Linked DNA regions of Tribolium castaneum. The protein of the gene in region 1 binds, or shares a complex with, the protein of each later gene. Links are inferred from orthologs where the notes say so. Each region holds a gene or a part of one and is shown on either strand. Other genes may lie near its edges.

Region 1 (7,068 bases):
AGTTGGTAATTCTTGGGGAATTCGTGCGAGTCGACAATCTCGCCGACGCGCTAGACCTCATGGTTTCTAATTGTTGCCGGTTTTTATCGTTAATATTAAAAATTGGTGGGTTTTCATATAAATTGTTGTAATACAAAGTGAAAAATGTTGGTCTTATTTGAGACAGCGGCAGGTTACGCGCTGTTTAAGGTAATTCTGCAGTAAAGTTGTTGACAAACTTAACCTCAAATTTTCCATGCTTTCAGCTTCTGGATGAAAGCAAATTAAAAGAAGTTAACAATTTGTACCATGAATTTGATTCACCCGAGTCGGCAGGAAAAATGTACGACCTGTCCTAGTTTCAAAATGCAAACTTATTAGTAAAATTGTTTTAGTGTGAAGCTGAAACATTTCGAGAAGTTCAATGATACCACTGAAGCCCTGGCTGCCACGACTGCAGCCGTCGAGGGCAAAGTCTCGAAAAGCTTGAAGAAGGTGCTGAAGAAGCACATCGACCAAGAATTGCAGGACAAGCTGCTTGTGGCCGACGCCAAGTTAGGGTCTGCCATTAAAGAGAAGTTCAATTTACAATGCGTTTCGAATACAGCTGTCCAGGAGCTGATGCGGTGCATTCGGTCGCAATTGGACAGTTTGATAACGGGGTTACCTAAGAAGGAAATGACCGCGATGGCGTTAGGTTTAGCTCATTCCTTATCACGGTACAAGTTAAAATTCTCGCCTGATAAAATTGATACAATGATAGTCCAAGCGGTTTCGTTGCTTGATGACCTCGATAAAGAACTCAACAACTACATAATGAGGTGCCGCGAATGGTACGGTTGGCACTTTCCCGAGCTTGGGAAAATAATCACTGATAACGTTGCGTTCGTCAAAACTGTTAAAATCATCGGAACGCGTGATAACACCGCCAGTTCTGACCTCTCCGACATTCTCCCCGAAGAAATTGAGGAGAAAGTCAAGGAGGCAGCTGAAATATCAATGGGTACTGAGATATCCGACGACGATATTTTAAACATTCAGAACTTGTGCGACCAAGTTGTAGAAATTTCCAATTATCGCACCCAGTTGTACGACTATTTGAAGGCCCGTATGATGGCGATGGCCCCAAACCTGACAACGTTGGTTGGGGATTTGGTGGGCGCTCGTTTGATTTCGCACGCTGGGTCTTTGATAAACTTGGCCAAACATCCGGCCTCCACGGTGCAGATTTTGGGGGCTGAGAAGGCGCTATTCCGAGCCCTCAAGACCAAGAAAGACACCCCGAAGTACGGGTTGATCTACCACGCCCAGTTAGTGGGGCAAAGTAGCACCAAAAACAAGGGGAAAATGTCTCGAATGTTGGCGGCTAAAGCAGCCCTCGCAACTCGAGTCGATGCTCTAGGCGAAGACGGGAATTTCACGCTTGGGGCGGAGCACAAAGCCAAGTTGGAAGCACGTCTTAGAATTTTGGAAGAGGGGAATTTGAGGAGAATTAGCGGGACGGCGAAAGCCAAGGCCAAGTTTGAGAAATATCAAGGGGTTTCGGAAGTTCAGCAGTATCCTGCTGCTGCCGACTCGACGTTACCTTCGACTTCGAAGAGGAAGAGGTCAGAGTCGGAGCAAGTGAAGGAGGAGTTGAACACGACTCAGGAGACTCCCAAGCAGAAGAAGAAAAAGGTCAAGACGGATGAGACCAATGACAGTATCAAGGAGGAGGATGAGGACAGTGGTGAGGGCCAGAAGAAGAAAAAGAAGAAGAAGAAGGCGAAAGAGGAAGCGGAGGAAGAGGTGGAAGCGGAAGTTAAGGAAGAACCTGAGGTGACGCCTGGGAAGAAAAAGAAGAAGAAGAAGTCCGAGAGCGAAGCTCCGCCTGAAGTTGTTGAAGAGCCAACAAGTGGAAAAAAGAAAAAGAAGAAGAAGAGCATTTCCAAGGAAGATGAATAATTTAGCGGAAGGTTTTTTATTTTTTACAATAATAGACATTCTTATTATTAAGGTGCTGTTATACAACAGCGGTGTAATTTGCTTTGCAATAGACTAAAAACAAACAATAAGAAATTGATTTACCACGTTTTCCCACTCACCGATAAATTCAGACACGGGGTCGTTCTCCCCATCTCCTCTCATTGTTCCCGTAATTTCGTCATTTTCAACCATTGGCATAAATAAGTGGACGAATTCGGAGCTATAAGGGGGCCCGATGGTCTCCAAAACCTACAAAAATTGCATTTTCCGGTCATTTTTAACAAAGTAACTTACTTCCGTTACAAAGTAACGAATCAGGGATATGTCCGTGTCGCCTTTTTGCCAACACTGTTTTATGTACTTTACAACGGGTACCACACATCCAGCACATAGCAAATTTACCATTCTGTCAAGGACCATTTTGCGCATTTCAAGCTAACAAAAAAAAAACTGAAAAATATCGTAAAAAAATTGATAACTTACTTGGACTAAAATTTCCAGTTCGTCTTGCTTGGATTCAAACAACCTGATTAGTAAGTCGAGTACTTGATTATGGAGAAGAGGGTGACAAGTAACTACTTCATCCAAGAGCGCCAAATGAATTGGAGTGTGTTCTGTTGACAATTTAAAGTAACTTGCTTCGGTAACAGTGCACTCAACCCAACGGATAATTCCAACAGAAACGACTGGATACCTAAAAAAATAAATATAAGTTTCTTAGTTGACAATGTTTTTGATAATGGTGATTTACCGACATTTTATTTACAAAATTTATTCAGTTTTTATTAAAATATCATCTTAGAAACTTACCTGAGACACTGATACAGCGTTGCAAGTTCTGCCATTAGCTCTGAACTCCCTTTATTGGTATTACAAATATTGTGGACCGTTTCAATTGAATGAATAGTCGCTTGAAGTTCATCTTTATTGACCACTCTTTTTTGCCCTTTTTTGGCTTGCATTTCATAGACACTTGCTGCATAAGCTAACAAATGGATATATTTGGGCTTGTGGTCGGGGTTGAGTTTTACTCCAGGTTTAAACAAGGCATCAATCAATAATTCTGAAATTGTGAATTACCATATATTCAGAATCGTTAAAAAACAAACCCAGAAATTGCGGAGTTCTGATTAAATCAATGGGAGGAGGGTCTGGAGCGTTGTAATTTCTGTACAGAACTGTAATGTCGGCTGGATTAAGTGTATTTTTTGAAAGCATTGATGTCAAGGCCTGGCAGGCCAGAGGGTATGCAGAGGCGCCGTTTAACGCCATTGTGATTGGAGTTACGTCATGGCCACTGAAAATGGATAAATAATTTTTGTGTTTACTAGAAAAAATTATACTTTTTTTGGGCGCATTTCGTGATTTCTTGAGACAGTCGCTTCATGCTACTGCCACCCTTGGATTCTCGAGCTAACACGTGGATAATCACTTGACTGTAAACGTATGTGTGCTGGCCGTGGCACACCATTTTCTAGAAAAATAGATTTTTTTTCTTAGTGAATTCAAGTGTTAAATTGCATAATTTACTGCACACTCCTTGCTGGTATTTTGCCAGTCTTCTGGATTGGTCAAAAAACTAGCAATTGAAGTTTTGAGTACTCTAGAGAAGACTTCCAACTGTTGAGCTGCCGTTGAAATGCTTGTGATTTCAGCTTGGAAACCGGCGTCGGAAATAAGCTGCAATTACCACATTTACTCATGTTACACTTAAGGCAATTTTTACGAACCTTAATTGTGAAATTTAACATTAAGCAGTCTGGATACTCCTCAGCTAATCTATAAATCAGTGACCGCCACGTGGGATGTTCAATTAGCTGTGTCAGCCAAGCTGGCGTCTCACCCTCTTCTGTGAAAATCGTGTCAGCTTTTTTGGGATCAAATGTTTTCAAAATCATCTCTTTTAAGTGGTTCTCCACCATTGCTTGAACCGAAGTTACATTGACTCCACCTGTGATTAGCCATTCTGCTATCAAGTTAGCCATCTGGGCTACGGCGGTGTAGTTCTGTGATAATTCTTCAATCACTTGCAAGGGGTTTCCTCCAGACTGGAAATACCGTTTCAGCTGGGAGAAAATTCCCGGTTCCATTATGTAGTCTGAGGTCGAAAATTTCTCCGCGCATTCCTTAAGGACCTGCTCAGGGTTTTCCGTTTCATCGCCCGCATCTGACTAAAAATACGAGTTGTTGAAAGATTCAAGATTTCAATAAATGCTCACGTCATTATCGAGTCGATCAACGGTATCCCAATTTCTCTCGTCGTATTCTTCATCCATTGCAAGTTAATTACATATAACTGGGGCAGTTATATAAATTAAAACAATAAAAAAGTCGCGTCCTTAAACATAACATAACCTTCGAAATTTGACGTTACTACCAACTAGTAGTTATTTCGCGAAGTGTACGTTGGCGGCTTTGACCCACAAAGATTTGAAAATTATAAAGCAATTCCCAAATTTTCCGTAACTAGAATTTCATGGTACAATTTTATTAAATCCGGGACACATTCAAAGGTCCAAAATTGAATTAGTTGACTTTATTCACCAAATAATAAATTAATAAAACAGTACAATATTGTTTGGGAATTTTATAAACTGGATTGGCTAACATGGTTGACAGAACTTGACATGTTATGAAATTAAAGGTTATGAGAATCAAATTGTAATTTTTTGTAATTATTTTTTTAGTAATATAAACCGAAATGCACATAACGGTGCAATTTGGGTGAGAATTGTTTAATTTTTTGCTAAAACTGTAGTATAATTTAATATTTCAGGGGTGGTGCTGAATTGCTTTTTGATAACAAAAAGAGTCACGATGTAACATTACCTGAAAAAGACAAGGAATGTAAGGATAATAAGGATAATTCACTTTTTTACTGACTTTTAATCAAAGCATTTATCGCAAATAGTCTTTTATTTATCATTTTATCAATTTTTACTACACCTGATTTGATTAGCTTATTTTAAAGAAATGAAACACATTTGTGGATATCTTTTATACTTTATTGCTATTATGCTAACTGCTTAATATGCTTAACTTATATTGCAGGGATAATTAAGGATTTACTTATTTGGATTAAAGATAATTTATTGAAAGAGCGACCAGAACTGTTTTTGCAAGATGAGTCTGTGTAAGTATACCTACTAAATTTATTTTAGCTAAATTCAGACTAAATTATAAAATGTATTTTATTCTTTGGTGAATTATGAGCAGTAAGATTAAATAATACGTGTTTTTTTAATTTTCTTAATTATTTACATGCAGGATTCAGAAACCAGTCAGTATAACTCAAATTAGCAAAAAAATGGGATAATAAGCATTCTTAAAATTTACTTTATAAAAAAAGGTGAAAATCAGAATCGTTATTGAAGGACTCGCTTCTGTAAAAGTTAACAATGAGTGATTCCTGTCCCACAAAAGTTACTTGACGAAAAGTGAAATAAATACACAGATTGGCTTCTGAGCCCTCCATGTGATGAATACAGTATTTCATTTTTTGCTATCGTTGACAAATGAATTTGTTCCGAGTTTCATATTTCCCTTTTTTCCACGAAATTACAAAATCTGCTCTATTTTTATAATACTATCCTTGTTTCGATGCATGTATGCAGCAATATGATCCGCATAGGTAATTGATTCAGCATCTATTTACTCACGCCGCGTTGATTAGTTGCTCTTGTATAGCTTGTTACGTTCCGGCGCTTAAAAATGCGCTCACTCTTTTATTATTTTTTGTAGGCGACCTGGAATACTCGTCTTAATCAATGACGCAGATTGGGAATTGATGGTAAATTGCAGTTAGGGAATACAAATTTTTATCTTTATTTACATTTTAGGACACTGTTAACTATGTCATTCGGGAAAATGATAGGATATTGTTTATTTCCACATTACACGGGGGTTAATTTTATTGTATCTGTTTTTTTTTAAATAAAAGATTTGTTTATGATGTGTTTTTCTGCTTCCACTCTTTACTGTCATGACACCTTGGCCAATGACTCCTCTTGTTTTTTTTACTTACGATAGTTGGGTCGATTAATTCTATCTTTGTCAAAACATGGTTAAAAGGAAATGAGAATTTTTCTTCTATTGATAGATTATTATATGTATTGACCTGCATTTTTTGCCAAATTCGGGCAGTTTTTTTTTAATTATTGTCCGCTGGTTATGCTATGACAATCTGACAAAGCAAGATCTTGAGGAAGTTTCCAGAAACTAAAGAAAAGGCATATATTACTGAAAAAATAAGAAACTATTTTTTTTACATTTCACTATTATTGTGCTTACACTGTGCTAGAAACAGAAAAATTTTTTTTTGGAAACGCTTAAAATGTAGACTTTTACTTGGGCGCTCCGCATTCACCACTGGTTGAGTGACAATAAAGTAGCAGTTGTCTATGTCGCGGTTTTGGTGAGGGCATTAACAGTTCTCCATAATATTATCGGAGCAGCGGCGTCGTGTAAATAGGCTCGTAAATCGATGTGGTCAGATAGTTTACACCCAGTGTGGCCCTTATATGTAAATTATCGCTAGAGATCACATAACAAGATACACAGTGCATCACACAATAGTTTGTTGGTGTGGTGTTAACCCTCTTTCTATTCACCGGCGGAGCGCAATATTCGGAAATAATGATTTTATTTAAAATTTATCGCTCTGATCAGATATTGTAAGAGCCGAGAGCACGTAATATTATTACCTTTGTGGTACTTTCTGAATATCTAAGTGCAGTGTCAGCAGAAATAAGAAATCTTTACTATCTCATTGTTCACGATTCTACCGTAGATTTTACTTATGGATTATTGTCGTCCCAACCATTTCGAATATCTGATCTTTGCATAACTTCCCGCAACGTCTGGATAAATTAGCATAAAGTCGATGAGCCATCGAGAATTATGCGAAAAACCCGTTTTGTTTCCCTAACGATACATTATAATTGAGTTCGAGTTTAATTATCATAATGATGGAAACTTTACGCATAAAATCATTATTGTTATAAGTACACGGAGCGTTGTATTTAATGGCGAAAGAAGTGGCAATTATTTGAGAAAATTGGGGAAATTGGTCATTAAATTTCCATAAGTAGGAGGGAACGATTTCCTAAAAGAAATATACTAAAT
Region 2 (7,246 bases), about 160 kb from region 1:
GATGATCTTCAAGTTGCACATTACTTGGAAAACATCCTTAAACCAACCGAAACCAGGAAAGAATTGTTCAACGTGTTGTGGAAAATCCACAACGATACGTCTAGTCTGACTAGCCAAGATTTACTCTACCGAGACCTAAAAGTGGTTAAGGGTGTCCCAATCCCGGGTTTACCAATGTTGGTTGAGCAATATTTAAGTCGTGAGGATGCAGATAGCGCTATTGCAGCGTTCGCGAGTGAATTCAAAACATCCAGTGTTGTTTTAATTGGGATTGACGCTAGTGGCGACGTTAAAAGAGACATTGCGGTTTTTTCTACCGATTCCACGTTTAAAAAAACGTTAATCTCGATTTTGAATGACAGTAAACATGACTTACGACTCACCGAGACTTCTGTAAAAAGTAAGAATATTGTGTGTTTCGGACAGGGCAATATTAAATTGACACGTAAATTTATTCTGCCTCTGGTAAACGATGCAGCTGTACAATGCCAAAAATAGGAAAATGCATTGTTAGTCTTTAATAAACGAAATTATAAATAACACTCTACAAAATTATAAAATACCACTGTTTTCATAACGTATGGTGATACGGAGCAGGCGTTGGCACACTCATTAGAGGCGAGTTGAGGTCAATATCCATTTCAAGAGGTACAGCAGTCTCCTCTTGCGAATTAATCTTAGTCTGAAGCGTTTCGTACAAATTGTGAACCTTTTCGCTGTGTTGGTGCGTCGGTTGCAGCGCTTTCATCAGCGTGTGTAAACGACTAGCCGGCAGTCGGGAATGTACATACCACAGCAATTTCAGTAAATGTCTTGTCACGTTCTCCCTCGTCAGCCCAGCAAAAAAGAATTCGTCGAAGAGAACAGTACAAAAATCCTCAGCTTGAAACTCCTCCGGATTATGAATAAGGAAAATGACCTGCGGAAACCACAACTTTGCAAATAATTAACACAAATGTGTGTACACGTACGAGAGAGTGGAGGAACGGGTCCTCAAAAGCCCGGTCGTCTTTACAGTTCGCCAAAACCGTCAAGACTCGCAGCAGCCCCACCCTGTCTTTAAGCCGGGCCACGTTCAGGGTGTAGTACATGGCGAGAATACTGGCGACTGAACTGTCTTGAATGTAGGCCTCCACTGCATCGGGCAAGGGCCCCGAATGTTCGATAACTGTGATAGCAGCTTCGCGTTCATCTGGGGGCAATTTGCCTGACAATTGCCGCACTTGGTCGTCGACCATGAGCGACATTAGGGCCGGCAAAAATTTCGTAACGACCTGACTGTCCAGTTTGGGCTCTTTGAAGTCTTGGGAGTCGATCATGACCCAGGCACTTAGACCCAAAGCCAACATTCGCAAGAGCAAAATTAAAATCGTATTGTCCTAAAATATTCGTATAAAAATTATAATTTTGTTTCGAAAATTCTCATTATTTACCCTCGGCATCCCTTCTACGTATATGAGATGATGCAGGATTTTTATGGCCGACGTGGCCAAAAAATTAATGGCGTAGGGGTCGCATAAAGTCATTGATAAATCGCCCAGCACCTGCTCTTGGCCCCTCTTAACGTTATCCAAAAACCCTTGCAACTCCCTTGAGCGTTTAATGTCGACATTTTTTTCCCTAATGCAGGCATCAAGGCACCACGTAAATTTATGGCATGGATCTATCGAAATTATATCCTGAACTTCCAAATCGTGTAAGGCCATTAATAATTCGGCCCTCAAAGTGCAGTAATGCACGTTTCGGGTCCGCAAAAACAAAGTGCGAAGAAACTGGAGCACCATATCGTACAATTTAACACTGTTTCCAATCATGTGTGCCAACTTCTGGACGACTTCCCCTTGGCGCCGCACCTTGGGGGAAGGCCCGAAGAACTGGGTGCTGATGTTGGTGTGATCGAACAGCACGTTCTCTTTTTCGCTGATGTACTGACTCAAGAGAGGCGAGACCTCATCTCCGAAGAGCGACTGGTTGTCCTTCCAGATCTGCCGTTTGACTTCTGTGTCAGTGTCGTTGTACAGTTCCCGATCTCTAACTAATATTTTCAAATAGTTGTCGTCAATCTGTGGTGTGTTTTTCAAAATCGCCATCACTATCGGCCTTAAAGCCTTCACTTTGACCACAGGGAAACTCTTTACGAGTAAATCTTTCAGCTTCCTGTCCCTTTCGCGTCCTTCTTGCTTGCCGATTTCATTGATGTGTGCGATTAGTTTCTCTCGGAGTTCCTGAACCAACATCGTAATTTTTTCATTAAAGGGAAATAAATACAGCGAGTTGGGAACTTTATTCGGGAATTTTTTACTAATGGAATTTATGTCTACATGAATGGCAAACTTATCTCGCTGGACCTGAATGAGGGCACATAAAACACTTTATGTTTTGACGTTTTACTACCAAAGTTGGTTTTGTGAGATTACACGTTTATTTATGTATCTAATAGAATGTAAACCAACATTGCGTTTTATTACAAAACTTTTGTTCGTAACAATGCGGTTTAAAGCCAAAAACAATAAAATGTTTTTAAAAAAAGTACAATTACTGCAATCAGAAAAAAATCACAACAATTGAATAAGGAAATACGGTGTTAATACATTTTAATTGAAAATCAATAAATCCAGTTGTAAATTATGGAGTAATGAACGAAACAAGACACCAACCAAAAATGAGTCACATTATCGACCAACTCCTGAGCGCATTTTCATACAGTTTGCACCATAAAAGCAATTATAAACAGTTTTATAATTCTTATTAAGTAAAACCATGATACATTAAATACCATCTGATTTTCGGGATGTACTCGAGTAATAATCACATTCAAAACAACATTTAATTTAAATTTCATAATTATTATTATGAAAACATTAAAAACAACGTTGAATTTGACTTTTACCCTTTTTTCTAACTCAGATTTTCCTGAAACATCAATTTTTAGGAAAATGAGACGATTATTTTCAGGTTTTAGTCGTTGAAATTTGTTGAGTTTGAAAATCAACCCATTGAGGTCGTTTTAACACAAAAATGGAAAAATAACTTGTTTTTAAGCCCACTTTAGCTATTAAAACGTCGATTTTTTATGAAAAATACCCTATTTTTTATGTCCTTTTTAAAATGTGAGCCAGATTTTAATGCTAAAAATAAGGAAAACTAGGAAAGAGTGGGGTATAATGATCCCTCGAAAAATCCCTGTTTTGTAAAGATTTCTTAAAAAATATGAGCCAGGCGTAACAACTGAATCTGTGGTTTTTATTAAAAAAATAAATACATAGACAATAGAAAAATGACTAAGAAAAATCGGATAGTTTATAAACTATCTAGCTATTTTAGTTGAAACTGGGTTTTCTATTAGTTTGCAAACTAACCAGCTAGTGTACAAATTAGCCAAGTTTACACATTGACCGTAACATAGTTTAGTTTTAATTTTCTTTATTTGTTATTTTTGGGTAGGTATACGCCTTCCCCTTCACTGACGAAACTTATTGAACATTATTACTGTGTATGGTTTGTTTAAAATCAAATATATTGATGCCAGTTCTAGTGAACTTTAAAGTCCAACCCATCAGACATTGCCACTAATGAGGGGATTAATATTTAATGAGAATACTTTACCTCTACAACTGACATGTGAAAATCCAGTCTTCTCACCCCGTGTAGATCAAGTAATGGAAGCATTGGGCGTAATGAGGGTAAAAGTATCCCGTTTGTAACCTATAAGAAAGCGAATTTATTTACAAATCTATGGATAAAATCATGACAAAAAGTACCTGAAACTCTTCAATGGCTTTGAGCGGATCAGTGCAACTAGTTAAGGCATGTTTGAGGAAGGTGGGCCCGTGTATATTGAGGGCTTCCAAAGGGAAATCGTTTCTGGATGAAGACATTTTGCAGTACGAATCCTTACACTAGTAAAACATCAAATCGACGCAGTTTATCACTTAAATTCGGTGTTAGTATCACAGAGATTACAATTACACATCTCAATAAATATAAACACACAGCTTTCATAACCCATTATGAAAATATATTGTCAAAAAACACACCATTTGCTGTCAAAAGCGTCAAACAAAACAAAGGTCTTTCACCTATTTAAAATGCTGCGCTGTGATTGGTCGACGTCAAATACAATAAGAAGCGGTAAAAGCAGCACTATTCTAATAACTTCCGGTTTTTCAAAAGGCGAATTTTCAAAGTGACTCTGACAGTTGTCAGGAATTTTCGGCGATGCGTTAGGAGCATGTTTACATTGTGTAATATCGGGCAATTGGCGGAATTACGGTGATTTTGCGGTAAATTACGCCGAGTGTGACGACGTTAAGTGACGTAGAAATAGACGCTAGGTTGCACTAGTACGCAGATTTGGGGGAAGCCTATCAAAGCTTGTTGAAGAAATGGCATTCTTTTTGACACCCAAAGGCCTATAGTGCGCTAAATGTGGCTGGTTATCCGCCGTTCGAGTCGTAAATTCGTTAATTCATGGCTTTTTGGGGAGTTTCGTCGAGATTAATGTGAATTAACAACGTTACATGTATTGATCACCGTATAGGTTATGTTTCCAACTTTCATTAGCATCCTAGGTGTGTTTACGGAAATTCGCCGATTTGGCTTCTCAAGTGCTGTTTTCCCTAATTCTGGCCGTTGTTTCAGATATTCAATCATGGTGGGAGGTTCCAAGCATTGCACATTTTTGTTCATTGTTTCGAACAGCATTTAACCTTTTGGATTTTGATATCGAGGTAAAACCACGCAAACAATTCCTGCGTTCGGGTTTTGATTCGTTTTGCTTTGATCTAGGATTTGGAGGAGGCTCTCTTGACTGATGGGACGGAGGAAACCTCTTGGCTTCAAGAACTGATCGTGAGGCTTCTCAGTGGGTGCTTGCCGAACAATGAAATCTCAACGTTCAATTATCAGATGTTCCTGAGACGTCTCTTTCGCCAGAAATGTCAGGAACATGATCAATACAACCCATTTAACACAGACGTTGATTTCCAATTGTTACCTTTGAGAACAAAAGTGGACATTTTACATGCACTCTGTGATTTTCGTTTAGATGCTGATGATGTGCTTGACCAGCTGAAAAATTTAGAAGCAGACAGCTTGAGGGTTGAGCCCCTGGGTTATGACAGTAACGAATCTGCTTACTGGTATTTTTACGGTACTAGACTGTACAGAGAGGACTTTAAAACCAAGAATAATAAGAAGAAATCCGTGTGGCAGGTTATTTGTTTCACTGAAGACGATTGGTTTCAACTTAACAAGAAATTTAAAAAATCGACTGCTAAGTGTGAAAGAGAGTTACATCGTACTTTAAGTGAGAACTTCTTGCCTGAATTGCCCAGATTGTTCCGGGAAAAGGAAAGACTGGCCAGGAAGCGTCTGCTGGAAAATCAACCGAGACGCACTTCTCGACGTTTGAGAAAAGTAGTAAGAAGTTAATTATTTAATTTTTTTACAAGAGATTATTACAGGAAAATACAACTGAAAAAGAAGAAGTAACGTGTGAATCGCCGAAAACCAATCCTCTTGAAGAGGAAGAAAGACAAAGAAAGCGCGATTTGGAAATCAAGAGAAAAGAAGCTTATGAGAGAAGTAACAGACTTAAAGAGCAGAGCGAAGATAGCCAAAGTGAGGACTCTGAAGTACGGTATGAGATGGGCGGGACTAAAACGCGACAAAAGAAGTCCAAAGGAAGACAAAGAAAATTGTCAACAAGTTCCTCTAACAGTAAAGGTAAATACGAAATTATCAATTGTAACCTTGAGATGTACAAGGTGCTATAGCTAAGACTTTTTTATTAAAACTTTATTTATAAGCTAAAAATAATGAATTACCAAGAAAACAAACTTACCTTGAAACTTAAAAAAACGCAAGAATATTAATTAAACAATTGATTGATGTATCTAATATTCTTTTATTTAAAAATCTACCTTTTCGAATAAAAATGGTCCGATTTATGAATTTCTTACTACTATTCGTATTTATAAATAACACTATATGATCCCATGATTAGTTAAAACAGGAGACCAGGAAATTTACAAATTATAGTCTTGTTTTAATTTGCGTTTTATTGCTTATCTCCGAGAATATTTCAGGTATTTTGATTCATTAGTCACACAGATAACCTATCAGAATATTCTGAAATATGATAATTAGAACAGTAAATATAATTAATTATAACCACTTGTTAGATGCATCATCTGCGCCGAAGAGCTCAAAAAGGAAGAAAACAGGTGAGGAGACTTCAAAATCCTCGACTTCTTCCGCAACTACAACAGTTGGTCGACAAACCAACAATTCGCTGGCGGCAGCTACTGGACAAATTGTTATCCAACCTGTTACCAACTCACACAAGAAAAAACTAAAAACTTCTCAAGTGTAAGTTGTTTTTTCCCATTGCACATATTATTCAAAGTTCCTGTTGACCTAAAATTTACCAAATAAGTGGAAATTTTAGATAAATTTGGGTTTGTGAAAGTTTTCTTCCATGCATGTCCCTGCTCCTTTCAATCCCTGTAATTTTATGGTAATTTCTTATCAGAAAGATGTGCGGTTTTGGAGTAAAGTGCAAATTTTAGGTTTCGTCAAACCGACGAAGATCTAATAACAGGAATGCACAAGATCTTAGATTACGTAAAAAATCATGAAGACGCATGGCCCTTTGCCGATCCTGTTGATGAGGATTACGCACCCAATTATTACACAGTTATTCGGAAACCAATGGATTTGCAAAGAATGGAAGAGAGGCTGGATGCAGGTTATTACAAGAACTTTGCAAAATTCAGAGACGATTTCCAGTTAATCGTGGACAATTGTCGACTTTATAACGGTGTTGAAAATGGTAAAAAAATAATCAATAATTTATCAGTTTAGTTAACTTGTTACATATTTCAGAATATACGGAAATGGTCGATAATTTGTTGAAAGTATTTGAAAGAGCAACTGAGAAATTTTTGGACCAAATCTCATCATCCGACGACGAAATCGCCGTTGAATTCCCTAATACTGATCTGGACGCAAAAGATACCAAAAAGAACAACAAACCAGAATCTAAATCATCAAAGCGTAAACCGACTCTTGCAGCTAAAACAGATAAAAAGAGGGAGCATTCGCCCTCTGAAGAATCTCTAGGTAAAAGGAGTCTTTCCTGTGATTCGCTTATTGAGGAAGATGAAAAGATATCGTCGAATAAAAAAGACAAAAACACTAAGAAAACAAATAAAGTAGCTAAAAAGGATAAAAACGACACTAA

The links. Proteins that work in one complex are often made in the same cells at the same time.
Region 2: the proteins of TH1 (region 1) and NELF-B are in contact, whole or in part, in a crystal structure (PDB 8JJ6), measured with the Homo sapiens proteins. The link is inferred for Tribolium castaneum from reciprocal best matches to the Homo sapiens genes NELFCD and NELFB. Residues at the interface, in XP_047296144.1 of Homo sapiens: Arg63, Ile66, Met67, Glu68, Pro69, Ile71, Phe72, Leu75, Ile89, Gln90, Leu92, Ser93, Tyr96, Thr97, Ala98, Val99, Ala100, Gln101, Thr102, Val103, Asn104, Leu105, Leu106, Trp109, Leu110, Gln112, Thr113, Gly114, Val115, Gln121; in NP_056271.3 of Homo sapiens: Met49, Leu53, Leu56, Val58, Ala59, Asn60, Gly61, Leu64, Lys65, Leu68, Thr69, Leu75, Ile78, Glu79, Phe81, Gln82, Glu84, Asn85, Gly86, Val87, Leu88, Leu89, Ser91, Leu92, Ser94, Ala95, Leu96, Pro97, Phe98, Leu99.

The regions. Positions count from the first base shown.
Region 1 is NC_087394.1:30,828,114-30,835,181, forward strand, and holds TH1 (negative elongation factor D), read right to left. Parts: upstream 4,333-7,068; 5' UTR 4,221-4,332; coding exon 4,164-4,220; intron 4,116-4,163; coding exon 3,675-4,115; intron 3,625-3,674; coding exon 3,475-3,624; intron 3,419-3,474; coding exon 3,288-3,418; intron 3,242-3,287; coding exon 3,054-3,241; intron 3,008-3,053; coding exon 2,755-3,007; intron 2,639-2,754; coding exon 2,428-2,638; intron 2,380-2,427; coding exon 2,239-2,379; intron 2,194-2,238; coding exon 2,064-2,193; intron 2,038-2,063; exon of another isoform or gene 2,017-2,037; coding exon 1,982-2,016; 3' UTR 1,924-1,981; downstream 1-1,923. Other genes in the region: nop5 (nucleolar protein 58), read left to right, coding at 145-189, 246-322, 375-1,923; Urm1 (ubiquitin-related modifier 1), read left to right, coding at 4,646-4,668, 4,721-4,791, 4,996-5,077, 5,686-5,734, 5,784-5,852. UniProt on the Homo sapiens protein: Essential component of the NELF complex, a complex that negatively regulates the elongation of transcription by RNA polymerase II.
Region 2 is NC_087394.1:30,667,882-30,675,127, forward strand, and holds NELF-B (negative elongation factor B), read right to left. Parts: upstream 4,049-7,246; 5' UTR 3,879-4,048; coding exon 3,762-3,878; intron 3,706-3,761; coding exon 3,607-3,705; intron 2,226-3,606; coding exon 1,434-2,225; intron 1,420-1,433; exon of another isoform or gene 1,380-1,419; coding exon 972-1,379; exon of another isoform or gene 920-971; coding exon 572-919; 3' UTR 504-571; downstream 1-503. Other genes in the region: pn (exopolyphosphatase PRUNE1), read left to right, coding at 1-498; uncharacterized protein dikar, read left to right, coding at 4,544-4,571, 4,642-4,730, 4,789-5,418, 5,466-5,727, 6,186-6,372, 6,573-6,835, 6,889-7,246. UniProt on the Homo sapiens protein: Essential component of the NELF complex, a complex that negatively regulates the elongation of transcription by RNA polymerase II.